Linked DNA regions of Caenorhabditis elegans. The protein of the gene in region 1 purifies or fractionates together with the protein of each later gene. This does not show direct contact. Each region holds a gene or a part of one and is shown in the gene's direction. Other genes may lie near its edges.

The links.
Region 2: the proteins of svh-2 (region 1) and shc-1 purify together in Caenorhabditis elegans (affinity purification with western blotting, with the first as the bait; one study listed by BioGRID). This does not show direct contact.
Region 3: the proteins of svh-2 (region 1) and tns-1 purify together in Caenorhabditis elegans (affinity purification with western blotting, with the first as the bait; one study listed by BioGRID). This does not show direct contact.

The regions. Positions count from the first base shown.
Region 1 is NC_003284.9:6,551,749-6,562,927, forward strand, and holds svh-2 (Tyrosine-protein kinase receptor svh-2), read left to right. Parts: upstream 1-1,539; 5' UTR 1,540-1,567; coding exon 1,568-1,741; intron 1,742-2,378; coding exon 2,379-2,460; intron 2,461-2,516; coding exon 2,517-2,625; intron 2,626-2,672; coding exon 2,673-2,876; intron 2,877-2,921; coding exon 2,922-3,172; intron 3,173-3,219; coding exon 3,220-3,308; intron 3,309-3,357; coding exon 3,358-3,573; intron 3,574-3,617; coding exon 3,618-3,724; intron 3,725-3,903; coding exon 3,904-4,006; intron 4,007-4,053; coding exon 4,054-4,173; intron 4,174-4,218; coding exon 4,219-4,407; intron 4,408-4,455; coding exon 4,456-4,577; intron 4,578-4,623; coding exon 4,624-5,016; intron 5,017-5,259; coding exon 5,260-5,441; intron 5,442-5,493; coding exon 5,494-5,746; intron 5,747-5,793; coding exon 5,794-5,932; intron 5,933-6,028; coding exon 6,029-6,195; intron 6,196-6,750; coding exon 6,751-6,903; intron 6,904-7,139; coding exon 7,140-7,347; 3' UTR 7,348-7,717; and 1 more. Other genes in the region: Protein aaim-1, read right to left, coding at 7,822-7,919, 8,449-8,695, 8,744-8,923, 8,979-9,458, 9,504-9,630, 10,069-10,311, 10,362-10,435, 10,477-10,538 and 1 more. UniProt on the Caenorhabditis elegans protein: Receptor tyrosine kinase which may phosphorylate mlk-1, a component of the mlk-1, mek-1 and kgb-1 pathway. Involved in axon regeneration after injury by promoting the generation of productive and stable growth cones.
Region 2 is NC_003279.8:966,887-977,072, reverse strand, and holds shc-1 (SHC-transforming protein homolog 1), read left to right. Parts: upstream 1-3,939; 5' UTR 3,940-4,020; coding exon 4,021-4,086; intron 4,087-4,135; coding exon 4,136-4,206; exon of another isoform or gene 4,207-4,352; coding exon 4,353-4,425; intron 4,426-4,986; exon of another isoform or gene 4,987-5,122; coding exon 5,123-5,613; intron 5,614-7,089; coding exon 7,090-7,180; intron 7,181-7,234; coding exon 7,235-7,393; 3' UTR 7,394-7,740; coding exon of another isoform or gene 7,741-7,836; 3' UTR 7,837-7,985; downstream 7,986-10,186. Other genes in the region: cutl-20 (ZP domain-containing protein), read left to right, coding at 7,741-7,836, 8,585-8,710, 8,756-8,838, 10,150-10,186. UniProt on the Caenorhabditis elegans protein: Scaffold protein which plays an important role in the activation of the JNK pathway composed of mlk-1, mek-1 and kgb-1; by bringing together mek-1 and mlk-1, promotes mlk-1-mediated phosphorylation and activation of mek-1 which in turn phosphorylates kgb-1.
Region 3 is NC_003279.8:5,601,021-5,609,522, reverse strand, and holds the start of tns-1 (Tensin homolog), read left to right. Parts: upstream 1-1,993; 5' UTR 1,994-2,005; coding exon 2,006-2,038; intron 2,039-4,528; coding exon 4,529-4,597; intron 4,598-6,032; coding exon 6,033-6,096; intron 6,097-6,142; coding exon 6,143-6,240; intron 6,241-6,917; coding exon 6,918-7,153; intron 7,154-7,207; coding exon 7,208-7,291; intron 7,292-7,333; coding exon 7,334-7,489; intron 7,490-7,625; coding exon 7,626-7,715; intron 7,716-8,502. Other genes in the region: ubl-5 (Ubiquitin-like protein 5), read left to right, coding at 687-799, 1,489-1,597. UniProt on the Caenorhabditis elegans protein: Probable phosphatase which regulates axon regeneration after injury by linking the svh-2 and integrin signaling pathways.

The DNA.
Region 1 (11,179 bases):
TTTTCAAGTGCGATCCTCCAGTACAAAAAAAGACATAACGTTTATCAGTTGCGGTGACATCACCAGATTTATCAGACATTTTCACGCTCACACGCATTTCCAATCAGTTGCTATCTTTCACCTCATTTGTTCCAACAAAACGATTGTTAAAAAATCGTCATCGGAAATGGGTCGAATCAGTAGTAGTTGGCCAATGTTCCTGCCATGACTCACTTACCATCATTTATCGTCCCTCTCTTCATGATTATAATTCGTTTCTGTGTTTCTCTAGATCTCTCAATTTGTTTCCAACTCTACCTACCGACTTGCGTGAACTTAAGCCTCGCTGAATCATTCTACAACAAAAAAAGTTCCAGTAGTACCATTGATTGAAAATTTTCTTTAGAAGTGAAAAGTATGGTTTGTGGTTTTAAAGGGTGTTGGTGTTGAGTTGAACTTTTTTATAGAACTGATAAGCTCCACAACCATGTGATTTGCAAAATATTGATTACGAGCTTGAGGGGCTGTTTCTAGCTTTTTTCCCGTTTGTAGACTTTTTTGTTGAAAATATTTAAGGAGAACTGTCACATGTAAAGATGTTACACTAATTTTTATGTCTTCTGAATACAGAAAATGAAAACGTACCTATGTAGTAGCAGTACCGCTCTATTTAAAAAAAGGTAATCTAATCGGAACGTGAGATAATATTTCTTTTTAGGTTTAGAAAACCGCCATTTTAAAGCTAAACATTGTAAAAACGGCCATGGTAATTTTTTTGGAACTGAGAAAATGTTTTATGGTACGGCTACTAACGGCTATAAGTATTTATTTAAAAAAACTATTTCAGTATCAATGCGGAAAAATAGATCCACTAAGATTATTTTTTCGTTTTTTTCTGTTTTTGTAGTGTATTGTGGCCAAAAAGAACACTTTAAAGCAAAACTCGTGAAAGAAAATGCCCTACTTTAAATGTTAGAGCAATGAAAAAAGCTCGCTTCCAATTTTTCATAACCCTTACTTGGTTTTTTATTATAACAAACAAAACATCAATCGCTAGAAATTGACATAATCAAATTTTGATTAAAAAAATAAATAATGCGTCTTATTATAAAAGTAATTGCTCGTTTTTTTTCGTCCACTAAGATGTTCAAAATAGAGTGTAGGGAGCAACTGATCTTTTTCGATAGTTTTACATAATCGTTCGATAGCCTGTCTTTCATCACAATGTTGGAAAAGATGTTTCCATGCCCTGTCATTATTGCGAAACGGGTGCCGGAGTCGCAATTTTCTCCGAGTCATTTTCTGTATAGAATGAAAAAAAGAGAGGAAGAGAAAAACACATGTCTCCCGTCTCATCTTCATTCCGGACCTCTTGCTCCACTCTTTTTTTTTATTTTCTCTCTTCCTTCTTTTAAAAATGTTTGAATTTTTCAAATTTTGTCATGTTTTGTAGTTTGAACGTCTATCAGTTTTCCCACAAAACTTTGGAATTTAATTAGATTAAAAGGGATTTTTTATCACTCAACAAAAAACTTTTAATATGTAGCGCCCAACTTCCAGGGACATCATGTCTTGCGGATAATCAAAAATGGTACTCGGCTCGTCGCAAAGTTCGGCGAAGGAGCTGACCACTCAAAGTTCCATTTTCCGCTTCTTGGTGCTCTTGCTGTGCTTCACTTCTGCAACTGGCGGGCAAATCAACGGGAAACTCCTCAACGGCAATGGTGTTTTTGTGTCCAGAGACGAGCTGCAGAACAAAAATGTGAGGTTTTTTGTGAATAGCTTTATTCAAAACTTAATTTATCTTTGATCAAAAGTCTTGACAAGTTTGACCCAAAAATTAAATGCGGTCCAAATTTAATTTTCTCAACTCTTGTCTAACTTTTGCCTAAGGTTCGCCAGTTTCTGAACTATAATGCAACAAAGCGTTGTCGCCAAACGTTGATTATTTTTTGAACCTAGTTAAAAACGCACAGTTCAAAAACCATTACTAAGATATGTAATTCAACTTAAATTCACTTAGGCATGATCAAATATCATAATAACAAACATTCCAAATGTTTTTCTGATTTTTTGAAAAATTTTCAGTGAGAGTATTGGAAAATTACCAAATTTTTCGAACAGTGTAGTATTTTTTTAAAAATTCGAGAACAGGTTCAGGTTTGAATCCATATAATGTTCTAATATAATAAGTATGATTAGATCATAAGAAAAAAAATCGTTTTGTTGGCTTTCAAATTTATTGTAGATAAGATCTGAGTCTTCACCGCTTTTTATTTCGCCACATTAAAAATAAAAAAAAAACAATGATATTTAGTCATTTAAGAAACATGTGAGTGGTTTTGAAGAATTTCAGAATTGACCTATAAAAAATAAAAGTCAACAATTGTGTTTTAAAGGTGCTGGGTGTAATCACTGGATTTGATCTACTTGTTGTCGCTACTCATTCGCGATTTCAGGTCTTTGAAAATAATGAAGAACGTGAGTAATTTTTTTTTTCACTTGTTTCCGGTTATCAAACGTCTGTCTGTTTGCAGGTAGAACAGTTGGCCATGTATCACTTGATATGCATCCACGCACCAAGTTTTTGGAATTGAAGCTCTTCTCGAAATCTGAAATATTTTACTGCGATGAGTCAAGCTGCGGGTATCTATTTTTGCTTTGTTGTAAATTTTTCAATTTCAATTTTTCAGGTTATGTACATACTCCGGTGTTACATCATCGTGCTCAACATTTATGCTGAACGGAGATGAGCCAAAAATTCAAGAGATCTTAAGTTCGAGTGCTGTGAAAATAGAGAATTTAGGGCAAATAATGTTAGCAATTTCATTTAAAAATGAGGAAGATCCAGACAACCCAAGAACAATGATTTTACGATATAATGCTCAAGACACTGGGTATTTTATAATTGTCTGAGATAATTTTAATAAGGTTGATTACAGAACTGTTATCCCAACAGCGTATCATGCCGATTCAAGTTTTATTCACAACAACCATGCCCTTACTGGTTTTGAAAGGGAAGGATTTGTATACTTCGTGATGACTGCAAGCCAAATCTTTGAGCCAGAAGTATTTTTACACGATCAGTCAAATAACAAAGTTACGGTCACAAAAGTCATTAGATTCTGCGCGACAGATCAAACTGCAGACTTGGCATCAAAAATCTCAATTTTAGTTGGTTGCGATCAAGAATGTAAAGTTTGAAATACCAAAACTAAATTTTTATTGATAAAATTTCAGTTAGAAATATAAGTTCCCGGGGTGAGACTGCTGTTTATGATCATGCAAATGATCTAATCAACATTGTGATGTTCAATCACACATCTATGGTTTGTTTTATAAAGTGATGCGTTTTTCATTGAACCTATATATTTTAAGAACCACTTAATGTGTCGCTTCAAAATGGCCAACATTGAAAAACGATTCAAAACTATTTGGAGTACCTGCCAAGAAACTTCATTTTCTGGCAGTACCGCAAAGACAACCCGTTGCAAGTACCCACAAATTTTTGATCAAATGAAGGTAAAAAAGGGCTGCTTGACGTATAGTCGATTGGACGATGAATCATCACCAACTCTTTGCGTGCGATATGGGGTAGGTGCATGTTTTCTATGCGAATTAAAACTTAAAAATTGCAGAGAGGCGATGCTCTGGACAATTGTCAGCTTCACACTGCCAAAAGTAACAGCTATCGGTACGGATGGTTGGAAGATTATAATGTTTTGCAAGGAGAGCTCATGATGAGGTATATCGCTTGTTGAAAGAAAATTTTAAAAATTGCAAAAAATTGAGTTAGCCTCATATAAAGTTTTCGACACACTGCCGCAGTTTCTTGACATGGCTAAAGAGAATAATTTTGGTTTAGAAGTTGCGACCAATTGCCGAGTTCACCACTTCTCTTGAAATATACTAAAATATTTTCAGAATTCCTTATCCTTTCTTTGGAATCGCTGAATCTTTAATAACTGATGGAAAGTCATATTTTGCCGCCGTCTCGGGAGAGTTTGATATGTCAGATGTTTTAAGGGTATGCATTTTTCACATCACGAAATTGCTTTCAAAATTGTTTTTTAGTTTTCGGCATCCGAATCTGCAGATATTCGTCCACACTGGAGAACCAACATCTCAGTTGTCGGAAAATTCTCTATCACAAAAACAAAGGAAAATCAGCTACTCTACACTACGGTCGAAGGAGTAAGTGTTTTAAGAAAATGTTTTGAACAAAAATTAAATTTTTAGCTGCAAAGTTTGGATATTTCATGCAAAGGGCTATATCCAAATTGTCAGACACTGCGTCAAGGTGGATGGGAAGATCCTTTAGAGTGTTCCTGGTGCGCTGATGACAACGCACAGCGAACCATTACTTCTTCAGAAGTCAGCAGCTGCAAAAATAATTTGAAGCACGAGTGTCCACCAAGTATGCGATGGGTGAGTTTCCGTGTATCTTCAATAAAAATTTTAAAACTGTATTTTCAGATTCACAAGTACAATAATAACTCAGGATTTACTGCAGTTGTTGATGGCTTCCGTGCATTGAAAAATCCAAAGTTAAATGCCTGCGGAACAAATTGTGTAGTTACGGTTGTTGATTCTTCTAGGTAAATAAAAAAAAATAATCGTTTGTTTCTAAAATGCGTTTTGCAGTATTCAATGTGATACGAACCCAGATGAAGTCATCGGTGATTCATGCAAACAAGTATTTTTAAGCGGTATGATTGGGGACAAGAACTACTCTTTCCCTTTTGACTATCAACAAGCTGATCGAGGGACTCAAACAGATGTGAAGAATAGTCAAGTTGACGATAAGAAGGGTAGTAGTCCTGGATGGAAGATCGCAATTGCTATTATCTCGGTGATGACGATTATTCTGATTGTCGCTATAATCGTCTACTACATGAGGAATCGATTCCCCAGAATTAAAACTCATGTCAGACCGCCAATTGGTCAACGTATTGAGAACGAGTACGATATGGGACACATGGCTGGAAGGCAGGCTCAGCTAGCAATTAACGGAGACAACTACGTTAAAGTTTTTAGGTAGGTCTATATTTTCTGGAGGATTGTCGAAATTGGCTTAAGTTTTCATTTGGTTAAAAGTGTATTTTTTCCCATACTGCGAGTATTTTTTAAAGTGTTCCCTTCCATAAGTTTCGTAAGATGATTCCAAAAAATGAGATAAAAACCTTTCGACGACATCCAATAGCCGCAGAACTTAAAAAAAAGTTATCGTAAATATTCTCCCAATACTTTTAACACACCACGATTATTATTGTTTTTCAGAAGCATGCGTCCCGATCTCAAAGTTGATTTCAAGAACCTGCGCGTTGACAAGTTGGATCCTATTGGCCAAGGTCATTATGGAGTTGTCTACAAAGCGATGTACTCACCATCCAAAAGTTTGGAGGAAAAAGTTGTTTGTAAATATCTGAAAGAAGGAAAAATTTCGGAATTTTATGAGGAAGGTAGACATTCCGTATTATTTGAAGCCTCTGAAAAAAAGCTCAAAACTTTCAGCAAGAACAATGTCTGAGTTTGACCATCCCAACATTCTCAAACTGATCGGTGTTGCACTAGATGATTCTTCCCATCTTCCAATTATAATTACCGAGTATATGGCAAAAGGCGATTTGAAGAGCTTTATCGAAAACGTGGAAAATACCATCAAAATGAGAGATTTATTCGAATTCGCATTTGACATTGCGAAAGGAATGAATTATATGCATTCGAAGAAGTTTATTCATAGAGATCTTGCATGCAGAAATTGCTTGTTTGTTCATTTTTCTTTTTTTTCAAGATATTATATTAAAATTCCAGATTGGATGAGCACCTCCGAGTCAAGATTGCTGATTTTGGTCTCTGCAGAAAAGTGGATATTGAAACGGAATTATATGTTCAAATGCACGAAAGAGACTTACCAGTGCGTTGGTTCCCGCCGGAAATATCCGAACAAGGGGTATGTCTAGGTTGCCCGGCATTTGCACAGGTGTTGTATTTCTAAACGCAAAACAAAATACGATATAACCAAACGTGTACATTAATTGTTTTTCAGTTTGGCATAACATCCGATATCTGGTCGTTTGGAGTTGTTATCTGGGAACTGTTCACACGCGGATCTACACCGTACAGCAATATGGCTAGTTGGATATTGATTCTTCCATGGTTGAAGGAATCAGAGACAAACAGGCTACGGAAACCTCCATATTGTCCCGAGAAATTGTGAGTTATCGCCTGGAAAATGTTTAAAAGTTAAAATTAGGAATTAATTTAGAGAATTTAAAGTCTCTAAAATAACTTTTATTGTATATTCTTTATTAGTACTGCAATCTCTATTAGTGCGGAACCTCTTCTTTTCATTTCAAAAGTTCTTAAAAAAGCCCCGGAAATGATTGCTGCACTAATAGAGAATATACAAGACTTTTTTACATTTTTAAAGAACAATTCTAGTGAAATAACAATTTTATGTACATTTGAAATTTTACAAAACACTATACCCAGCTTTAAATTTTTGCTGAAACCACGTACGAGAGAAGTTTTTGCAAATCCAGGACGCCCTGTTTAGAGAGCCAAAAGAGTGAAGTGTCGTTTTGCGGTTGAAATTTAACACTGATAACCGATAGATTTTCGAGTTTGTATTCATAAATTTACTTAAAATCCGGTAATTTTCAAAAACAATGTCAATATTGTTATCAGGTTTTAAGGGATATATTTATCATCTATAAAAAATGTTGGTCATAACCGTTACCCGCATTTAAAATAAACAACAATTTTCAGATACACCGACGTGATGTTGGCTTGTTGGAAAGCAAATCCTGCCGAACGGCCGCAGTTTAGCGACCTCGTGACTATCATTCCAAACGTTGTGAAGTATATGGAAGGATATGATCGCTCACAGTTACAAGCTGGTTATGAGCGAGTAAGTAGTAGGTGCTGCTTGCTTTTCTTTCGTTTCTAACATAATTGAGTTACCCATGCAACAATTTCCCTCTGACATTGATTTCCAAAAATAGGTTAAGGGTTACTGAATTAAAATTTTTTGTTTCATTTCACAAAAATGGATTATGTTTTCTGGTTAAAGTAATTGTTGAACCTGTGTTACTTTCCATGAGCTTTTTACCACAATAATATCAATAGAAAACCACAAACTTTATTTATCATTTCAGGTTTCTGAGCTTGTCACGTCACGACCCAGCATTTCCAATTTATCAGAATGAGATGCCAAACACACCTCTCCTAGCAAACTGTCAAAACGATACTAACGATTCCAAAACTCTTGCCGAGCTTCCATCCGACAGTCCTTCAACTTCAACTGCAATTCCACAGAGCACTCCTTACCAATTATTGAGTGAATGCTCAGAGACATCGGTCTAAGTCATCCAAGTTCACGAGGTAGATTTCTGTTAGTTCCGCGTTCAGTTTCAATATTCATGTAAACTTTTCTTCCACGACTTTGTAATTGCGCACCACCTTTCGTCCCATTCATTTTCAATATGAAAATCAATCAAAAGTTATTTTTTGCAATCAATCCGATTCTGTCCCGAGTTACTGGTACTTTCTTTGTGATTTGTATCCTTATGAATACTTCTTTTTGCATTTGTATTTTCCATCTTCCGTCTTATTGCTCCAGCGGTTCTAGTTGACAATTTGTTTGCGGGTTTGATACACATATACTTTTCTTTTTTCATCCTGTTCTCCTTTTCTATGTACTTTTTTCACATGGAAGTAAATCAATCAAATTGAAATGAGCATATTTTACAGATAGAATAAAATAAAAATAAAAAAAAACAAATGATGACATGAAATAAATAAATGGCATAAGTTAAGTGGCAATAGGGAAGAATACACTTAATTTTTTTGCTGGTGAGGTTGAATTCTGTTGATTTCTTCTCGAATTCGAGGTATCACATCCGGTGAAAATTTATGAATAGTTGGAGCAACGGCATCTGCAATTAGTTGTACTATAGAACTTTTTCAAAAACAATTTAAAGACTTTTAAGGCATCAACAGTGGAGAATCTCCATACAGAAAATAAAATAAATTAATGCAGCTTTGCTAAATCAGTTAACACTTTATATCATCGTCAGTACAAAAATTGATCTGAAGTCCTTTTTAAAATCTTTAAAAGTTGAAAACATTGTATAATTTGGTACATTTTCAGACCATTAAAGAATGAGCTTATGGGAAAATGAATAACAGTAATTTCTACGATGCTAACATGAAGTGCAGTGATGCCGGTTTTTTCGGCACCTACGTCGAAACCCTAATGAAATTTTTTGTCTAGAAAATATAGTTTGTAACAGTGATGCATATCACGTTTAATTTTAAATGCCAAATGGTTTTTTTTAGTTTTAGCCTAAAATGCAAAAACCAATATTCTAAATTTCAGCAATTATCTTACTCCCTCAAAAACTTCAGTATTGCTCCTGAAATCTTTATACATTCATGAACTCATTAATTGGTGTCACAACAAACCTATGATAGTCCGCCATGGGTCATTGTGTGCCATTTCCTTCTTTGTTTCTGCGAATGCACTTAATGCTGCAGAGAAGTAGTTGTTTGCCTGGTTTCCGAGTTCCGTGAAATTCAACGAGTTTGATTTCAATTGGCTGAGAATTGGGCTCACAGCTTCTAGTGGCGAACTGATCAATGGCGTTGGTGTAGCGAATTCAATTTCCGGTGGTATATGTGATGGTGTCTTTAGATACCATGGGGAGACGAACTAAAAAACAAATTGAAATGAATAAAGCAAATAAAAAACAAAACATACAACTCCTGGTGCCTTTGTTGGTTCCTGCTTAACTTCGTCATCATGCCAATTTATTTCAACTCTGAATGGTTGTGTAGAAGTCTGCTCAGCAGGTAACTTGAAATTAAATGCAACTGGAGGGGAGGATATTACTGTTTCCGTAGGTTTAACTGGTGCTAAAGCACTTGTTAAAGTAGACACCTGCAAAAAGATAACTTTTTTTTTTTGAAATTTTCACTGAAATAAGGGCACTAACCTGAACAGCGTCTACTTTATAGTTCCATGGAACGTACGTATGTTTGTCAACGACGGGAATAATTGTTCTGGTCGTTCTGATGATATCGTTTTTCAATGTATTTGGGTTTTTTGTGGTATACGGGTTTGGCAAAAACTTGTGCACAACTTTTGGCTTTTGAGTGGACGTTGGTTGGTTCATTGGAGCGCCACGTTCATCAACAATCACAGTTTTTATAACAGGTCCATTCGATTGAGAAGTTGTTGGCCGTGGTTTGAATTTAGAGTTTGGATCAGTTCTTCTCATGATTGGAAGACTAGTCCTCGTGACAACTCCGTCGATTACTGAAGGAAGTGCGGGAGGATGAACGGTTACATAAGTTGTGGAAGAAGTCGTTTGTGCCACCAGAGACTCAATAGGTAACCCTTTTTTCAATTCCGATTCCGGTTTTTTTCTTAGATCATATTGGCATTGCATTGGATATTCTTTGTTAGTTAAAACCTTTAATTTTTTTCTTTGTGGGAGGTTGTTAAGTTTAGACGGTACCTGTTGCATCTGTGCAAAAAATTGAGCAGCTTCTGCGGTACATTTCTTACCAATGTTGATATAAGTGCAAGTTGACACTTCCGAAAGTTCGATTTTGCTCACGCAGTCTGGTCGGGTACACATTTCTCTGAAAAGTGTGTTTTGTGACTTACAATAATCAAGTAATGTTTATTTTCTATTATTGCGGCATGTAGTACTCGTTTCCGGAATTTCCTCGACTACTAATTTTCGAGTGCTTAATTTAAAATGGAGAATATGACCATTCGCTTACAAAAAAGTAATATCTTAAATAGAAAATCATAAAAATTGTGAAATATCGTTACAGAAAACACGTTTAATTAACAACGTTATTAATTTAGTGCAAAACTATGAAAAAGGCTCATGAAAATATCTTTAAATTGTTGAAACTATAAGGATGCTTCTCGTAAAAAACAGGGGTGCAGTACTAATAGAGACTGAAGTACTACTGGAGTCTACGATACTAATTTTTAGAAGGCCTTGAAGGGTGCAGTATTAGTAAATATGCCTTACTACTGAAAAAGAAAAAGTACCTATATATACTTACCTGCATGATTGCAGCTTATCCGCAAAAACCGTATCATTTCTGTTACAAACCGATGATTGCGGTTCTGCTAGCACATCCTGAATGCATTTGCTTCTTCTCAAGAAGATCTTCTGTCGTTGTAGAGAAAATGGAGCACATAAATATGAATGTAACCTTTTTCCGCGCTCTAGTTGGGTTTTTTCAGAGGGTTTACCGCACTGTACCATTTTTTGATCAAAACACGGGAGGATGCGACTATAGGTTCTAAAACATGATTAGTTTTAGTTTGGTACTGGTTCTCCTAAATTTCAAACCTGCAAGTATGCATTAGCTTTGCTTCTGTCGTAATATTGAAAATAACTTCAATGGGATTCATATTGAAGTCAACCTAAATATGAATTTTAAAATTTTATTCCCAAGAATACATACCTTCTGAGCGCTAAGTTGCATTACACACGGCAAGAAATCCTTTAGTTGACAGCATAATGAAGCTATAAATGTAATCTTAAGAAATTGCTGTAGTAAACACCTCACCTGTGTATAAAATGCTGAAAAAAAATAATAACCTCATCAGTGGACTTCTGCTTATTAAAATGACTTCTTACACCCGCAATGAAACACGCCTGTAAATCTGCAAAATAAAATCATTGGAACATTGAAAGAAATTAAGCTATAAATGCCAACATCAAAGTACAAATGAAGTGCAAGCCGAATTGGAATGCGGTATGCACAAGTGTGGAATTATTTGGAAATGAATAGAATGACTCAGATTACACACGTGCGTGCAACCGTAAAACGACGGCATACCATCAACTACCGCGTGCTTCTCACATTGCTCGGCCCACCAAATAAAGGCAGACTTGAGAGGTGTTGAGCGGCTGGTCGCTTAGACAGTCGGGGTGGTGTCAATCTCAGCGTCTCGTCTGGCTACTTTCCATCGCGTTCGGTTTTGGCCCTACCTTTTTCTAGTTCCTACCGTAATGTCAATATTGTGTGGCAACGGGTGAGCAAGGAAATGCAGAAACCGGGAAAGAGGCGGTAGATCGACGGAAAGTGAGTATTAGGGTGTTGAATTGATTGCGTGCTCATGGCGCAGACGATACCTTGGTTTTTGATCGGACGCAAAATGGAG
Region 2 (10,186 bases), on another chromosome or scaffold:
GCTTCATATGATTTTTCCGTCATTCTGGAATTTTGAAAATATCAGCTTTTCATTATTTTTATCAATTTTTTAAAAATATTTCCGGTCAAGCTAAGCTATTTTGTTTAGTATTTTCTGGTAGTTTTGACAATTCTAAATAGGTTTAAAAAAGAAAAAAAAAGCATTTCATATGATTTTTCCGTCATTCTGGAATTTTGAAAATATCAGCTTTTCATTACTTTTATAAATTTTTAAAAAATACTTCCGTACATGCTAGCCTAATTGGCCTAGGATTTTCTCATAATAATGCAAATCCTGAACAGGTTTATAAAAGAAAAAATAATCGCTTCATATGATCTTTCCGTCATTTGGGAAGTTTGCTAAAATCCAAAAAAAAAACTCCATTTTCATTTATTGATTTTCCGAAAAAAAATCGTTCAAATATTTCGTATCATGCTTCAAATGTTTATTTTTGATTACACAATCGCAAGCTCAAATATATAAAAAATCTACGTAATAAAGTAACTGTTCAATTTTCAGAGAATGTATACAACACGTTGCAGCTACTGTTGGCGTGACTGCGGCTCGAGAAATCAATCCAGTTGTTAGTAGGGTGAGTTTTTTTTTGTGAATTAAAAAAACAAAAGAAAATAAAATAAAAAACTTGCCATTTTCTGGGCATGGCTAATGGTAAAAATTTACAAAACATTTTCTCATTAATTTGATATTAAGTGTTACCAAAAATGCATGACCAGCTTTGCAAAATGTTAAAAAAAAAGGACCCGTGAAATGTCGGCCGCGCTACGATATCTTCAAGAATTATTTCAAATTAACAAGCTGTCCAAATTAATGACTAAAAAATTATAGCAACCGACATCTCACAGGTTGTTAGAGAAAGGTTACATGGTGCATCGACCGGAAATATCTGACTCAACTTTGACTACTTATATCTCTGCTGGTTTTGGTTTTTTTTTGAAAAAGTGTCAATTGACAAAATATTTATCGTTTTTTCTACTACAACTTTGCATTTTAACACTTTTTGATAGCAGCAGACTTAGGCTTAGGCTTGACTTAGGCTTAGGCTCAGGCTCATGCTTAGTTTTAGGCTAAGGCTTAGTTTTAGGCTTAGGCTTAGGCCTACTCTTAGGCCTAGTTTTAGGCCCAAAGGATAACCTCCCGGAAATACCGAAAAATCCAAAAAAAAAGTTCTAACCAACCTCTTCAGTCTCCTCAACTTCCACTTCCTGGGGTTTTAAAAATTGCGAAAAAACAATTAAATCCCAAAATTGTTTATTCACATTTTTCACAACAAATGCGCCTTTCTGATTACACTGAGGACATTTTTTATCTCTAATTTTCTCACGACAACTGTCACATAACGTATGACCGCATGTGCCGATGCAAGGGATTCGGATGGCGTTGTCTGTAAAAACATCCATTTTTGGAGCGTGTCCTATATTTTGTAAGTAGAGATTTTTGAAAACTGACAGGATTGTCGCATGTTTCGACCCCTACAATTTTTCAATACAAATAATTAAAACAAAATTGAAGTATAAAAAATGTAGGAAAACAAATTTTTTTTTTGGTCGACTTCCAAAATTATGAGTGGCAAAAACTGAGTGGTTGTCACTTTTTGACAGTAAATAAAAAAGTTTCTAAAAACTTTTGAAAAGTTTTATTATGATATTCGGTACTTTTCGGATTAAAGGAGTGGATCTTAACAATCTTCCCACTGGCGCTACTTCACCTCTAATGATTTAAAAATGAGTTTTTTGTAAAATTTGAAAAATCATTAAAATAATTTTTTTAAAACATAATTTTCAGTAATTACACCCAACTCTCTAAATTTCCAAAAAAAATGAAAACTTTCAGAAAAATTTCCAACAATATTCACCATATTCCTCATAGCAAATTCCACACTCTGCAACTTTACTCATTAAAAAAAAAACAACTAAATGTATTTATTGAAGAGAATTTCAAAAAGTCAAATTCATCATTTATATATTATATACTAATGTAAGGTGAGAAATTGTCTAAGGAACCATAGGAATGTTTCCTTCCTCATCGCAATTTCTCATTTCATGAGTTTACTACTTTCCTGCAAAAAGATAACATGTATCTTAGGAACTAATTTTTATTTCAATTTATTTATTCGAATCGCAGAAATTTCCGGCAATTTTGGCTATTGCCGATATTACAGAAACTAAATTTGCAAAAGTTATCAGTTATCGGTAATTCTAAGCCTAAGCTTAAACCTAAAACTAAGCCTAAGCTTAAGCCTAATCCTGAGCCTAAGCCTAAACCTAGTAAATAATTTTACCTCTAGTTTCACTATGTATCATTTCAATTCAATAACATGCAAAAAAGTAAATGGACAAACTCCACTAAATTCAGAAAACCTTTGCTTCTGGTAAATACTCTTTAGGCAGCAGGTGATTTTAATTGTCTATAGGTGTTATAACTCCACAATAAATTCTTTTAACAAGTTATTATATATTTTTATTTCCAGCTCCCACTATGAATGTTGACTTTAAAGACCCTGTATGGCTAATCAATAGTTACAATTTTGTTGGTATTTTTTCTATATCAATAAATACGGCGACTATTTTTTTTGATTATTTTCAAAAGCGAGAAGATGGAGAGTATGAAGTATCATATTCTGGCGTTTCAGGTGATCTCCTTTAAATGTGGAGTATCGAAATCTGGAAAATATTTTTAATTGACTCCAAATTTTCCGCTGATTCCGAATCTCGATGTGAAAAAAATCAAAAATTCAAAAAAATCTGATAGATTTGGATTCTAGATTTTTTAAAAATATTATAGATGAGTTTTTGGGACAGGAAAGTAAATTTAAGCCGCGCTAGAGAGGTTTTTGTGTCGAGTTCCAATTTTCACAGGTATATGTAGGCGCAAAAAAACAAAAATAAAAATTATGGAATTCCGGAAGAATTGAAGTAAATTTAAGCCGCGCTAGAGAGGTTTTTGTGTCGAGTTCCAATTTTCACAGGTATATGTAGGCGCAAAAAAACAAAAATAAAAATTATGGAATTCCGGAAGAATTGAAGTAAATTTAAGCCGCGCTAGAGAGGTTTTTGTGTCGAGTTCCAATTTTCACAGGTATATGTAGGCGCAAAAAAACAAAAATAAAAATTATGGAATTCCAGAAGAATTGAACTCATCCCACCCCTCCCACTCCCACTCCCCAGTCGAAGCAGTTACCGACTGATCCAGGGAGGATGAGGGAAGCCTAGCTCCTCGGTGTGTGTGACTTTTCCGACCTAGATTTACAAATTAAAATCAAAACGGTTCACGGAAAAAAGTAATGACTGTTGAAAAACTGCTTATTTTATTGCATTTGTTCAATTTATTAAATTTTCCAATTTCCCGGTTGCCAAAAAATCAATAAAATTCAATTTTCAGAAAACCAATAAAATTATATTTCTCATCAAAATTCAAATTTCTATGACGTCGCCAGAATTAAATTTCTAGGTCACCGGTGACGTCTTCAGGCATAGTTTAAGTTTTCTAGGCCACCAGTGGCGTCATTTATTTCCCCAGGTATAATTTGAAACTTCTAGGCCACCGGTCACATCATTAATTTGTCTTCCACGGTCAAAATATTTCTCTTCCAGAACTAAAATAAGATTTCTAGTCCACCAATGACGTCATATCTTCTCCAAAAAAGCTATCAAGGTTTCCTAGACCATTAGTGACGTAATAAGTAGGCAATGATATTTCTAGGCCACGGCCCCCCCCCCCCCCCTCTGATCAAAAAACAAAGTTATGAGTCAACTTAACTTATTAGAATGCTGACTCACCCAGTCAACACCAATCTAATCTTTCCCTGTCTCCTCCCTACCACTGCCTGCGCCTCTCCGTCTCGCGCGCTCTCTCTCCCACTCCGCTCACCGCCTGCGTCTCCGTTTCTCTCCCGGTCATTCCTCATTCACTCAATCTTGCAAAATTTCGGTTGTAACGAATTTCGAGTTAGATTTTTTCTAAAAATAATCAAAAATTCCGTCGAAAAATCAACTTGCGGCGATGCTCAACGTGGAGCCCTCATTTGCAGAGGAGCTGCGGAGCAGCGGGGTTTCTCTGTCGGCTACTGTGAGTTTTTTATTAGTTTTTTCCCCGAAAATATAAAATTGTCTTTCAGTACCTCGGAAGTGTTCCAGTAGTCGAGTCAATTAACGTGATGGTTTCCGAGATGAGAGTTCAAGTTGTTTCGTTAGTTTTTCTTATGGCTTAAAATCAAAAAAAAATCTTATTCAAAAATTTAGAAATCAGGCGGTAGGCAGGCATGAAGGCAGGTAACATCTGCAAGCTCAAATATATAAAAAATCTACGTAATAAAGTAACTGTTCAATTTTCAGAGAATGTATACAACACGTTGCAGCTACTGTTGGCGTGACTGCGGCTCGAGAAATCAATCCAGTTGTTAGTAGGGTGAGTTTTTTTTTGTGAATTAAAAAAACAAAAGAAAATAAAATAAAAAACTTGCCATTTTCTGGGCATGGCTAATGGTAAAAATTTACAAAACATTTTCTCATTAATTTGATATTAAGTGTTACCAAAAATGCATGACCAGCTTTGCAAAATGTTTAAAAAAAAGGACCCGTGAAATGTCGGCCGCGCTACGATATCATCAAGAATTATTTCAAATTAACAAGCTGTCCAAATTAATGACTAAAAAATTATAGCAACCGACATCTCACAGGTTATTAGAGAAAGGTTACATGGTGCATCGACTGGAAATATCTGACTCAACTTTGACTACTTATATCTCTGCTGGTTTTGGTTTTTTTTTGAAAAAGTGTCAATTGACAAAATATTTATCGTTTTTTCTACTACAACTTTGCATTTTAACACTTTTTGATAGCAGCGAAATAAACTGAGATAATTACATGGTGCATCGACATGCTCAAATTTTGATAGCTTATATATCCAGTAAAATTCAGCCAAAAGCCTGCCACTATAGAATGTACTAAAGCAACCGACATCTTACAGGTCGATCAAAAATCGCGCTAAATGATGTCAGCCGCTATTCATAGAAAAGTTATTATCACTAATTTCGACTAAAATTATTGCAGCCGACACTTCACGGGTCGATGAAAAAGCCCAGGTAAACCATCCTTATTTTCAGGTAATCGGTGAAGTGAAAAAAGAAAACTTCCCCGTAGACATCAACATTTCCTCGAAAATGATCAAAATCATAAAACAAAGTCGTCTAATTCAACGTCATCCCTTCTCATTCTTCTCATTCGGAGCCCAAGGCCAAAAGGGTACGGACACGGAGCTAATGTTCGGCTACATTGCAAAAAACAAGGATGGAACGGATCGTCGATGCCACGTGGTGTTCATCGAGGATGTGCACAAGCTCATCGACGTCCTTACCACTGCGATCAATGTGAACACTTTTGATGCACAGGCGAATGCTTCAACTTCTAACGATGGATTTACGGTGCCGGCGCCGCCGATGAGACATCGAAGTTCCCTGCATCGACAGTCATTTGTGTCGAATTGCCGAGCACCTACTGTAACTGAGGATGTTGTGGGGAAAGTTTGGTATCATGGAAATTTATCCAGAGAGGATGCACAGGCTTTGTTGAAGACGGAAGGCGATTTTTTGGTTCGGTAAGGTTTTTTAGATTTTTTATAGAAAAAAGCTAGAATTTTGCTGAATTTCTAAAACGTTTGGCTTCATGCTCACTAGGTTCACACCAGGGGCGCGTGGGAATCGGAAATTTTCGGCAATTGCCAAAATTCCAACTGAATGCCGACATTTTCGGCAATTTTCAAACCTAATTATAATTCGAAAATTGAAAAAAAAGTTAACTGTGTTTTCAGTATTCGATTAGTCATTTTTAAAAGCAAACGGTCAATACTTAAAAAATTAAAAAATGTTTAGGCTCCTAAATCTACAAAAAAATATCAAATCTATATTTTCGGCAATTCGGGCAAAATTTGATTTTCGAAGAAAAAGGCTAATGTTTTAATAATTGGCAATTTTTTGGTAAAACCTGAGATAAGTAAAATATGAGCTATGATAGCTGATCAATGCATCATGTCTTCCATGTAACTTTTTCCAATCATATCTCGGTTTATATCGCTGCTAGCAAAAAGTGTTCATCTGCAAAGTTGTAGAAGAAAAAAGGATAAATATTTTGTCAATTAACAATTTTTCAATAAAACCACAACCAGCCGAGATATAACCTGCCAAAGTTTTGTGAGATATTTCTTGTCGATGCACCATGTTTCTCATGTAACTTTTTCCAATCATATCTCAGTTTATATCGCTGCTAGCAAAAAGTGTTGAACTGCAAAGTTGTAGTAGAAAAAAGGATAAACATTTTGTTAATTAACAATTTTTTAATAAAACCACAACCAGCCGAGATATAACCTGCCAAAGTTTTGTGAGATATTTCTTGTCGATGCACCATGTTTCTCATGTAACTTTTTCCGCTAATATCTCGGTTAATATCGCTGCTAGCAAAAAGTGTTCAACTGCAAACTTTTAGTAGAAAAAGTGATAAATATTTCGTCAATTGAAATTTTTTAAATAAAACCAAAACCAGCCGAGATATAAACTGCCAAAGTTGCGTGAGCCGGTCAATGCACCTTTCTTTAACAACCTGCGAGATGTCGGTCGCTATAATTTTTTACTAATAGTAAATCGGATAGCTTTTTAATATAAGCCTATTTTAACAGACTTCGTAGAAAAATCTGAAAGTCTAAAAAAATCAAATTTGACTGAAAAAATAGTATGAAAAATCCTTTTTTTATATATTTCTGACTTAAAGCTTCAGTCACATTTCATATCTGTAATTTGTTTGATAATATGTTCAGAAGCCACGGGACTTTAAATAATTCTTGAAAGACCAGGGAAAAATTTGGTATAATAAGTTCATCCTCCCAAAATTTTTTTAGATTTTTGTTTTAGGCTGAAATTTTTGTTCAAAAAAAATTCTGCGTTTTTTTTCCTGAAATACAAAAGATGCAAGGTTTGCATGATGCTAAGATTGTCTGAAGCAGCGGACACCTCACAGTCCCCCTTCTCTAAAAAAAGACCCGCAAGCTGTCGGCCGCTCAAACTTGTCCAGTTCCTTGCAGACAAAGCGACCACACGCCCGGCAAGTACGTGCTGAGTGGCCGAACCGCTGAAAACGAGCACAAACATCTCATCCTACTGGACAATCACAACGTAAGACCCTCCCCCCCCCCCCCCGCCAAACCTTCAAACCTCTCAAAATTCCAGAGAGTCCGAACCCGCGATCGCACGTTCAGCAACATCTCCGAGCTCATCGACTATCATGTGAACAATGGGATGGCCGTAAGATCAGAGGGTCGGGATCGCGAGACGTCGTTGAATCTGATCCGACCTGTGCCGTGCCCCGGAAGTGATGATATCGAATAGAGTCGGAATTTGTTTCCTATTTTTTTTTCGATTTCTAGCAGAAATTGAAAGTCGAGTAGCAAATTGCGTAAGACTTTTTCCTCTTCTCGTCGCCCCCCCCCCCTCTTTCATATAATTAGGTAGTTGTCCTTCTACCGTAACATGTCATTACTATCCTCTTTCTTTCCTTCTTTTTTTTGCGATTCTCCTCCTCGGCCACGCTCCAATTATACCCCCCACCCACCTGTATTCTTACGCCACCACCCCAACCAGCGCACACATCTTTTTGTATTCATTTTTCCATATATATTTGTATTATTACTACTATTACCCTCACTACTGTTATCGATTTTTCCCTCCACAAATTTATGATTCTGCACTGGATCATTTGGTCGGTGGTTGTGGTGCTGCCACCGCTGATTCGATCGGTGGCCATTGTGGACACTTCTATTGCGTGTGATAAGGTAGGGATGGCCTAGAAAAGTCACCTAGTCCAACACTCCCACCCCGTATCTATGTTTCTGCCATCTTGTGATATTTGCTCCATACCATATACCCTGCCCATTTCTGTCCTACTTTCATATCCTGAAAAAATGAAGTATTTGAGAATCGAGTTTTGAAAATATTAGTGGTGGCCTAGAAATTTTAGGCTTGGGTTTAGGCTTAGGCTTAGGCTTAGGCTTAGGTTCAAGCTTAGGCGTAGGCTTAGGATTGGGCTTAATCATGGGTTTAGGCTTAGGCTTAGGCTTTGGCTTAAGCCGAGACTTAGGTTTGGCGTCAGTGGCGAGCGTTAGCTTGCTACTGACGCTATTTAGGCTTAGGATTTTCCGGTTTTTTTTAGGCTTAGGCTTAGGCTTGAGCTTAGGCTTAGGCTTAGGCTTTGGTTTGGGCTTAGGCGTAGGCTTAGGCTGAACCTTAGGCTTAAGCTTAGACATTGGATTAGGCTCAGGCTTAGGCTTTTTGGAAGATGTGTGGAGCCAATAAAAAGTTGCATGGAAAAAATATGACGTCACAAATGACCTAAAATGTTTCATTGTTTTTGGCAAAAACACAATAGTTTAGAAATTTGGCTGCAAGAAGTTCCTCGGCCTAGAAACTCTCTTAAACTCTCGAAAAAGCGAATTTGAAGGGCATTTAATGGAAGATTAAAAACCCAGGCCAAAACCTTGAAGGTCACCACCCAAAAGGAAAAAAACGTCTTCAATATTGCAGACAGATTTCCTATTGAAAATCAAGTTTGACGAAAACTTCCGTGGCACGATACAAAGTCGCGCGGGCCATCCAAAGTGTATCTATGCAAATGGCACGCTTCAATCGGACACCAAATATCAGTTGAAGGTTTGCCTATTGAATGTATTGAATTTTTGGGCATTATTTGCTTAGATTCCGCTGACTGGCTGCTCGACCAAGGAGAACGGAGAAGGCAATTTGGAGAATGAGATCGAAGTTGTCATGGCTAACAATGAGTGGGTTTTTTTTTGCCATGTGGTACTAGGTTTTTTGCCGCTATGCTCACAAGGAAAGTATTTCCGCTCAGTTTTAAAGGTGGAGTAGCGCCAGTGGGGAAATTATGAAAAACCATTCATTTGGTCCCAAAGTGACCGAATATCATAATAAAACTTTTTTTTTTTGTAAATGTTTTATTTACTGTCAAAAAGTGGCAATTACTCAGGTAGTTTTGGATCATAATAAGTGTATTTAGACAAAATCCCCCACTGGCGCTACTCAAAATTTAAACTTGAAAATTAAATTTTTGAATTTTGAAAAAAGAGCTTTCAAATAGGTACCTACAAAAAATTCAGCGACATACGAGCACTTTAAACTAGAAAAATCTCGCTCTGAAGTTGCTGCCAGTGAATTTTTACTACCAAATTTGGAGGCTAGTTTAGAGATTTTTGAAAAATTTCATGATTTTTAGGCTATTTCAATATATACAAGTATTCTGAAAGCAGTTTGGAAATTTTCTGATTTCTCCTAATTTCTAATTTTTCTAATTTCTCAAATTTCTCCTAAAATCTGCAACTTTTTTCACCCAACAATTTTCATCGATCAGGATATTTTTTGGAATTTTTTTTTCAAAAAAAAAAAAACATTTTGCAAAAAGATTCCAGAATATTTGCCAACCTCGAAATACCCTAAAAATCATGGGGTTCTGGCGCGCCATGGCCTTCCTCATTGAGATTCTCGCGCTCCATTGGCAATCGCCCGTCGGGCAACGCGTGGGAAAGTCGTGTACTCCACACGGCCAACTACATTTAGTTTTACAACTAAAATCGAGCCGCGACGCGACACGCAACGCGCCGTAAATCTACCCCAGATATGGCCGAGCCAAAATGGCCTAGTTTGGCAACCTCTTCCATTTCAATTTATGAGGGAGGCCAAAAATCTGTGATTTCAGATCGATTTTTTTCTAATGTAGAATGATGATCATATTATGGTATTACCGGTACAGAGAGTGTAGATAGTTAGAGAGTGACAGACATCCGGGACCCAATGGGGCGGGGCGCGCGGAAGAGACGATTTGTGTCGATTTACGAAATTTTCCTCGTTGTCATCATTTCGTAAATCGACACGAATCGTCTCTTCCGCGCGCCCCGCCCCATTGGGTCCCGGATGTCAGTCACTCTCTAACTATCTACACTCTCTGTACCAGTAATATTTGTTATTGAAACTAATTTTTTTAGGAGCATTTTTTTTATTCCATGGTACCTAAAAAACCATATACGAACAAAAATAGACAAAAATAAAAAATAACTTCCTCATCGTTTTTTTTTAAGATTCAATGCAGAAACCGACAAACGATTCCTTCTGACC
Region 3 (8,502 bases), on another chromosome or scaffold:
ACTTTTATGATGTGATATCCCTCTCCCATCAATTTCTAACCAATTCTGTAGAATTCTCCATTTTCAATTAAAAAATTATAGTCGTCACTTTTTTTTCTGTGACGACGTATTGTATACTATTTACAAAGAAAAAGCTTATACGTCAAAGTATTTCGTCGAATAAAGGTTTTATAGAGCTGATTATAAACTGGAAATTATTCTTTCTCTACGAATTAATCAATAAACGTATTCAGAAGAGGTTTTTCGCAAGTGTGAAACGCTATGTTCAAAAACTGCAGATTTTACCATACTTGCGCTTTTTTATAATTCCGAGATTAATTTTTGGAAAAAATAGCAAAATTTAAGCAGTTTATGTTTAAAAAAGTTCGTTTTTAAATACGCTCAAATAAAAAAAGTAAGTTTTAATTTTAAGTTTCAAAGGGTTGAGTCTCGCCGCGAGAATTGAGTTCTTGAAAAATAATTGGTGCATGCGCCTTTAAGTTTACTGATTACATTGCAAGTCTGCATTTGCGCGTCGAGTTGTGTGTTTTTACGTACATTCGAAATAGTTATATTTATTTATTGCGCAATTGCATTAATGTTTTTCTATACCGAATTTTCATTGCTTTCTTGCAAAATACATGTATTTTCTTAAGAAATTTGTGAATATTTTAAATTATACATAATTGTTTGACCTTTCAGGAAAAATGATTGAAATCACAGTAAACGATCGACTCGGAAAAAAAGTACGAATCAAGTGCAATCCATCAGATACAATTGGAGATTTGAAGAAGTTGATCGCTGCACAAACTGGAACACGGTGAGATTTGAAAATTACCTTTTTGAATTTGATAATCTTTTTGAAATTGACTGATGATCCCACAATCTTTTTTTCTGAATTCTTAAACTTGAAAATCAATTATATTGAAAAAAAAAGAATTTAGCTTTTTTATAGACTTTAGAAGTTAGAAGTTAAAACGTTTGAAAGGAAAAAAAGAACTTAAAAACTAAAAAAAATCAAAAATGGCACAAAAAGTCGTTATTAAAATGATCTCGAGCTAGGAAATCGCGTTTTAAAATACAATTTTTCTGTGTTTTGCCATCTCATGCGGCTATTCGCATATGTTATTTTCGTATGTTTTATATATTAGAAACAAATTGAAAATTTGAAAAACGGCAATTTGCCGATTTGCCCAAAGTTTTCCAAGATATTTTACATGAGAAAAAACATTAATAACATTTTCATAGATTTTACTTGCATGTCAAAATAGTTCTAGGACATTAAAATAGTGCATTTAATTTTGCAGAATTTATAATAAAAATTTAAAAATTTACAACAATTGCAAAACGAAAAATTTCCGACTTTGCAAAAAAAAACTTGCCTCCCAGCCCTGTGTTTTATTAAATAATTGATTTTTTTGTAATTTGATCATAAATTTCGACCGCCATTCTTGGTGATGAAATATACATTTTTTATTGTTTAATAAAAAAAAATCAATTAAATTTCAGATGGGAAAAGATCGTGTTGAAAAAGTGGTACACCATTTACAAGGATCATATCACATTGATGGATTACGAGATTCACGAGGGATTCAATTTCGAGCTCTACTACCAATGATTCATCAGAATTCATTTCATTTTTTAAACAATTATTTACTTTTCAACTTTTCATGAATTTCAATTTAATTTTTTTTGACTTCGAATAAATTTCAACACTTTCTTGATTTAAATGCACTTTTAAAAACATCTTATATTCATTCTTCCACCCCATTAATTTCTGCCGTCTTGTTTGACCACTCCCTCTTTCTTCGCTCCCACCCGAGTAGGCTCCGCCCATTTGTTCGACCCAAAAGATTTTGTCCGATTTTTTCTCTTTTTCTCTCTAATTCTCTTCGCCTATCAATGTGTTTGCGCGAAACAGTTTAGTGTGGATAGAGAAAAATCAGTGGATAGTTAATTTTTGCAGATGTTTTTTTTTTGAATTTTCAAAAATATTACTTCTAAAAGACATTTCAGACCAAGGGCAATGGCTGCTGCAGCTCTGTGCTGTGCTTCAAGGGTACGTTTTTAAATTGAAAAGTTTGAATCCCGAAAGCTTAAAATGAAATATTTATAGAATACAAAAATAAAACAACTTTTGAAAATTAATAAAAAAATATCTCAAAAGTTAAAAAAAAAGTTTCTCTAAATAGAAATATTCAAACATATGGTATCAATAAGCAGTCGTATTGACCTCGTTTCACAATAAAAATCTGGATTATCCGTTCGTTTTTTTGGTCACCACAGCTTTTGAATTAAATAGCTATTTTTTAAAGTTTTGTTTAAAATAAAAACTTTAATTGAAAATTCAGAAATAATCTCAATTGTATAACTGTATTCTATTTCCAGTTTATAAAACCTAATAAAAACCAATGTTAATCACTTTTGAAAACATTTCCTTTTAGTTCTTTTCTCTCTCTTGTCATTCCCTTGTATTTACTTCAACAGTAGTAAAATAAGAAGGACATAAGCTCTCTTCGGAGGGCTCATCATCTTTTCTTTTCCATTTTCTTTTTTATTTATCTATGTGTCCCTTCGGAGCGCGTAAAAACAGTACGGGCGGCCCGTTTACCTTTTCTCTGCGTCTCTTCGTCTCCAGTACTATTTCGTTTTGGATGGCTTCCAAATAGTGGACACCCTACCTCCCAACGGAAGAGGCTTGAAACAATCGTGAGGTTCTGAGCACATTCCAAGCAAAATAGTGGAGAAGTGAGATAGAGAATGGAAAAAGAACAACTTTTTTTTTTTCAGAAATCGACTATTTTCAGAAACTCATGAGACGTAGGGCAAAATTGCGTGCGCCTTAAAGAAGTACAGTAACCCATCATGCGATTTTCATGGATTTTCTTTAGTCTTGTAAATCCCAACTTCATAGTATTCCAGCAAACAATCCTTTTTCGAATAAGTGTTTCAAAGAAAAACCCGAAGATCCGAATGGGTTACTGTACTTTTAGAAATATTTGGACCGTTCCGAGTCCGGAACACAAATTTTCATTATAACGTGCTCCATGTATTTTTTATAAATATTTGAAGTACTTTAAGAAACAAGAGGCGCAGGTTTTCTATTAGAAAAAGAAGAAAATTGTTAATTAGTTAGTGCGGCGTCGATTGTAATACCGGAAATTAGACGAATTAGAAGGAAATAGGAAATGCTTCTTTTTTGATTGATTTCTATCAATTCTGATTGCTTCTGAAACATTTTTGATTGGCAAACTTTAAAGTTCATTGAACATGAAACATAGCTCTAATGATAAAATTTCCAAAATTATTTGAATTAGAAAACTGTATGAACCCTGTAAATCATGGCTTTTCTGATAATCAAATTTAGAAAAAAAACATGAATTTGCAGGTTCAATTAAATTTTGCACACAATCTATGAAAACACTGATCTGAAGCTGTCCCGATTTTGGTATAATACTTTCTTCAAATATTGAAACATCTATTTTAACAGTGTGGGTTCTACCACGATCAGAGTAATTCCAAATCTGTAAAACTAAGCAACTTTGTTTCAATCCAGCAAAATGCCACACCCATTTTCCGATATAATCAGGTGTTCGAATGAATGTTTCCTCGTTAAAACGGGCGGTACACAGCTAAGAAAGGTAGATCATTTTATATTGAATATATAATATCAAAACGGACAAGAAAAGGTAGCCGACACGCTTTTTTGTGTGGCTATGTGTCGCCAAACAACCAAAAGTGATAGTTTTTGGTTTTTTTTGGTCGTTTTCTGCGATTCATATATGAATTGATGTATAAATGTACATTTGATTGGAAAACGGAATTGGAATTTATTTAAAAAATGAACAGAAATTGGTATGAAAGAAAAGATTTAAAAGGGTAAAAGGAAATATGAATGTTAATTTGGTTTTTGAGTAATTTTTTAACTAGTTAAATAAGTTTGTGATCAGGAAAGTTTATCTGTTTTTAATAATTTTTTAGTTGGAAAAATCTTGCATTAAGCTACTCCATTGTGGCACTTTGGATAAATTTATTATATGAGAGTAGACACGTAACTTCAGGAAAAAATGAGGCACATAGATTTCAAATTTATTTTTGACAATAAATGAATTTATTTTGGTTTTCATCGAACAAATTAAATTTTTTCTACGATTAAAAAACAGTTTTTGAGAACAAATTTTAGATTTCTAGAGACACTGAAAATCTTCAAGTTAATTTTATTATCAATGTTGTAGTACCATGAGCAGAAATATAGACTAAATACACTTCCAACTTGATTATATATTCTAAAAAATCGTTCAAAAATCTTTTGGCATTTTGAAATTTTCAGTCAATGTTTTAGAAAAATGCCGAATGTTCCAAAAATATGGATTTTTTGAGTGAATACGAGCATTCCTCCAAGTTTGAAAAAAAGCTGAACCACCGTGAAATTCAATTTGGATGATTTCCAAAATTATCATAGGAGAAATCGTTTTCCTCACTTTTTGAGTGTCTAGGAATTCTACTGCTCCCGCAAACCTACTAAATAGAACAAAACTTAATTTTTCAGAAATCCAACAAATACAACAATGAAGCTGGCTACGAGGTGTACACAATTAGCGAGGACCAACTTCGTCTTGTAGGTCAAATTACATACATTTTGTTTCTTTCCCTTACAAACCACAACTAGCACAGAATAAATCATCTTGTCACCTTTTCTTTGTCACCTTGTCACCTTTCTTTACGCAATTCTCCCTCTCACTTGCTTGATATCAAAAACAGGATTTAGGTAACCTTCATGTCGACTTTATCACTTTTTATCTTCCTCCAACCGAATTTTTTCAACTTTTCGTATCCAATAATTCAGTATTACCTTCTTTTTACAAAAACAATTTAAAATTTCTATATTATCAAAATACTATAAAAAGAAAATTTCTTAAAAGCCGAATTGCTGTATAAAAGGAAAAAAAGTAGAATACAACTAAAAAATAAATAAATCAATGTGAAACAAGAGAATATGAGCTCATAAATTAGGATTTGGTTTCCTTTTTTTTTCGTTTTGCTCACTTTCTTCCATTTTTTTTTTGCTAAAAGTATTCCCAAAAGAGGATGAAGCCGTTCCGAACATAAGTTGTCCATTTCCGTTCACCGAAATTTTTTTGGTTTTTTGTTGGGGTCGCCCGTCGACAGAATCCTTTTTTCTGTTTGACGGGACCCACTAATTCAATTTTCTGATAGATTTTTCATTGCCCATTTCTGTCTTTCTTCCCAACTTCTTTAACCGAAAGCGTCTTGATTTACGTTCTCATTCCTACTCACGAGTTTAAATATAATATTAATTCAGGATTAATGTTTAAAAAATCAATTATTGGCATTTTAGATAGTTCTAAATGTGTGTCCAACTTTTGAAAAAATACCAAATTTTCAAAAAAATTCATTTTTTGAGTACACTTAGACATTGCTACAAGCACCTATAGTGTTCAAACACAAACATATATAGTTTTTTATAACAGTTAATTTAAATATAAAAATTGTAGAAAAAATGTTGTTTTGTGAACTTGCAAAATGAAAGGTAATTATGAAAGGTAATTGCCATTTTTATGACAGTAAATTAAACAATTGCAATTTTATTGTTATTTTTGGATTTTTTCCAATCTTTTGAGCTATATTTGTACCAATATTACTGGGACATAATAAGAGTGACAACCACAAATGATTAGCCACTTCTAAAGTTTTCATAGGTCAAGAGTATGGCAAATATCTCAAGTTTTCAAATTTCTTAGAAACTAATTTCCAAAACCTTATTGAGCGTATAAAAATCAATAGAATTATTTAGTTCTTTTGCACTGAATAAAATTTGAATTTGAGACAATTTAAAAGAAGTTATGTGTGAGAGTGAAAAAAAGAAAGAAGAGACGAGGAAGAATCAAAAGACAAATGTGTCAAATTTTGGGTTTGCTTTTTTCTTTTCTTTTTTTTTTGGTTGAAAAATTGAGACGAGTATCTTTTATTCTTTTTCAACTCACCCAACTTATCTCAAATTTTGTTTTGAATTGCAAAAATTTGAATTTCAGAAACAAAAAATGAAGGATCGAAAAGAAGGTGTACAGGTGGAATATATAACTTCTCGGCTTATTGGTAATAGTTTTTAGTTGAACTATGATAATTATTTGAGACTTTGCAGTTTTATCATGTACATCAGAGACCAGCGAACGGAAATTTGTGGAATCATTGCTCAAGGCGTCACAACAAATTCAAAATGCTCATAATAAACATATCAGAGTGAGTTTTTAATTTTTTTAATTTAAAAGAGTAAAACAGATAGTCTGTCAAGAAAAGTCTTTCTGTTTTGGAATTCATACAAAAACTATGTCCCAACAAAGAATTTGACAGTGAGGCAATTTGAACTGGAAAAAATCGATCTGAAAAATCTTCCATTGTATTTTTTAATCAAATTATATTCATCAAAACATTGAAAATTGTTTTAAGGTAATCCAAAAGTCCAGGAATCAAGTCCAATATTCGAAAAAAACATATAAAAGGATGTTTTGACTGAAAATTTTCAGATAATTTTTAAAAACATAAAAATGGTCAAAAAATTAACTACTGACAGTATCCGAAAATCCACTTAATCCACTTAACATCTACGAGCCTTGAATGCTGTGAAAAACAGAAAAAAAAAGTAATATTGGATATTTTCCAGTTCAAAGGTCCCCTCGGCCGCTAAATTCTCTGTAGAAAAAGGTATTCTTCCAAAAGAAAAATATTCCGTTTAGAAGTTCAAAAGTGAGCTGAAACATCTCCCCTTTGCTATTTTTTCTGTGAAATTTAGAACAGTATTTTTAGTTTTATTATAAATTTTTCATTAATAGATTTTACACTTTATCAGAAAAATGTTGGCTTGAATAATTGAAATAATCGGAAAAATTGAAATTTTTCAAAAAGATTTGAATGATCAGGTATGGAATGTATCTCAACGTCGCCATGACATCAGTTCTTCTCTCGATGCAATTCCATTTGGTTGGCCATCAGAAACTGCTCCATCACTTGAAAAATTATGCACAATTTGTAAAAATTTGGATCAATGGATGCTTGAACATCCTCTTAATATTGCTGTTATCTTTTGTAAAGGAGGTCTTGAAAGATGTGCAATTGTTGTTAATGCTTTTATGAGATTCAATGCTATTTCTGCAACGTGGGTTTTTTCTCACTTTCGAATGTAAAAATTATTCAAACAGTAAATTTTCAGAGACGATTCAGTTGATGATCGATTCAGTATGCAGAGGTTTTCTGAAAGATTCCTAGGACCCGATGGACCACCCAGTTACAAAAGGTCAGTTAAGTTTTCAAGTTATTATAAATTTAATGTTTTCAGATACCTCGGTTATTTCTCATCACTGTTATCTGGTCGAATATCTGTCAACTCAGATCCTTTATACCTTCACAATATAATTTTGACATTTTTCGAGCCAATCAACGTCTTTCTCAAGATATACGAGCGACTTGTGCCAGTTTATCAGTCAAAAACTGTGTAAGTACTTATTTTTGGAAATTTCCTTAAATAACAGGTATTTTCCATAGTAGAACTTGAAGATTTTAATTTCTGAAAATATAATTTTTAAAAATAAATTTTCAAGGCATAGAACATATTAATTTATATTATTTAGAGCTCTAAACAAATCTTCAAAATTCGAAATGGATGGAAGTCTGAAACTTCGTGGCGATATTTTCTTCAAGTGTATTGTAGCAGCTTCATCGTAAGTTTTGCAAAAATATGATCTAGGGTAATTTGAGCAGAAGTAACCAATTACTAAGTCAGATATATCCAAAAGTTCAGTTTGTATCTCACGATACTTGAACCACTTCTGGCAACTTTTGTAAGAACGGAAATTTTGCGAAAATTTAAAATTCTGAAGTTTCTCGAAAATTGGTTGAATGTTTGGAACAAAAAGGGAGTTACAAATTATAGTGTCTTCTTCTTTTCTCTTCTTTCCTTTTTGTGCTCAGGGTGTTTATGCTCTCGGAAATCACTTTGTCTTCTCCTTTTTTCTGGACATTTTTCCTTTTGCTTCTCACACATATATAGACAAACACAAACCCATAAGCCACTTTTGAAAAGTAAACAGAGAAATAGAGAAAGGAGCATCTTCTTCTTCTTGCTTTTTTTTTCATTTTTCTTATTTCCTTTTTTATTTTTCTGTTTGCACGATCGTTTAGTCCGTAATCTACTTATCAAATTAAAATTTGGGACCGATGGTTTTAGGAAAAAACACTTTTGCAGATACTTTTTTCCAGAGTTCATTGTATCACTTCCTGTTTGAAATCAGTAATTCAGTTTCCAAATAGTTTCTGTGCCATGGTACAATAATTACCTATTTTTATAATTTTCAAATTTAATAAAAAATAAATGTTTCAAATATCTAGCTTAGAAATAATTGCCTGAAAATAATATTTATTCAACTACTTTTTTTAAAATTGCTTCACTTTTTTTATTGAACTTTAAAAAAATATTTAGAGTTCGCGATTGTCCTTTAAATTTGTTTT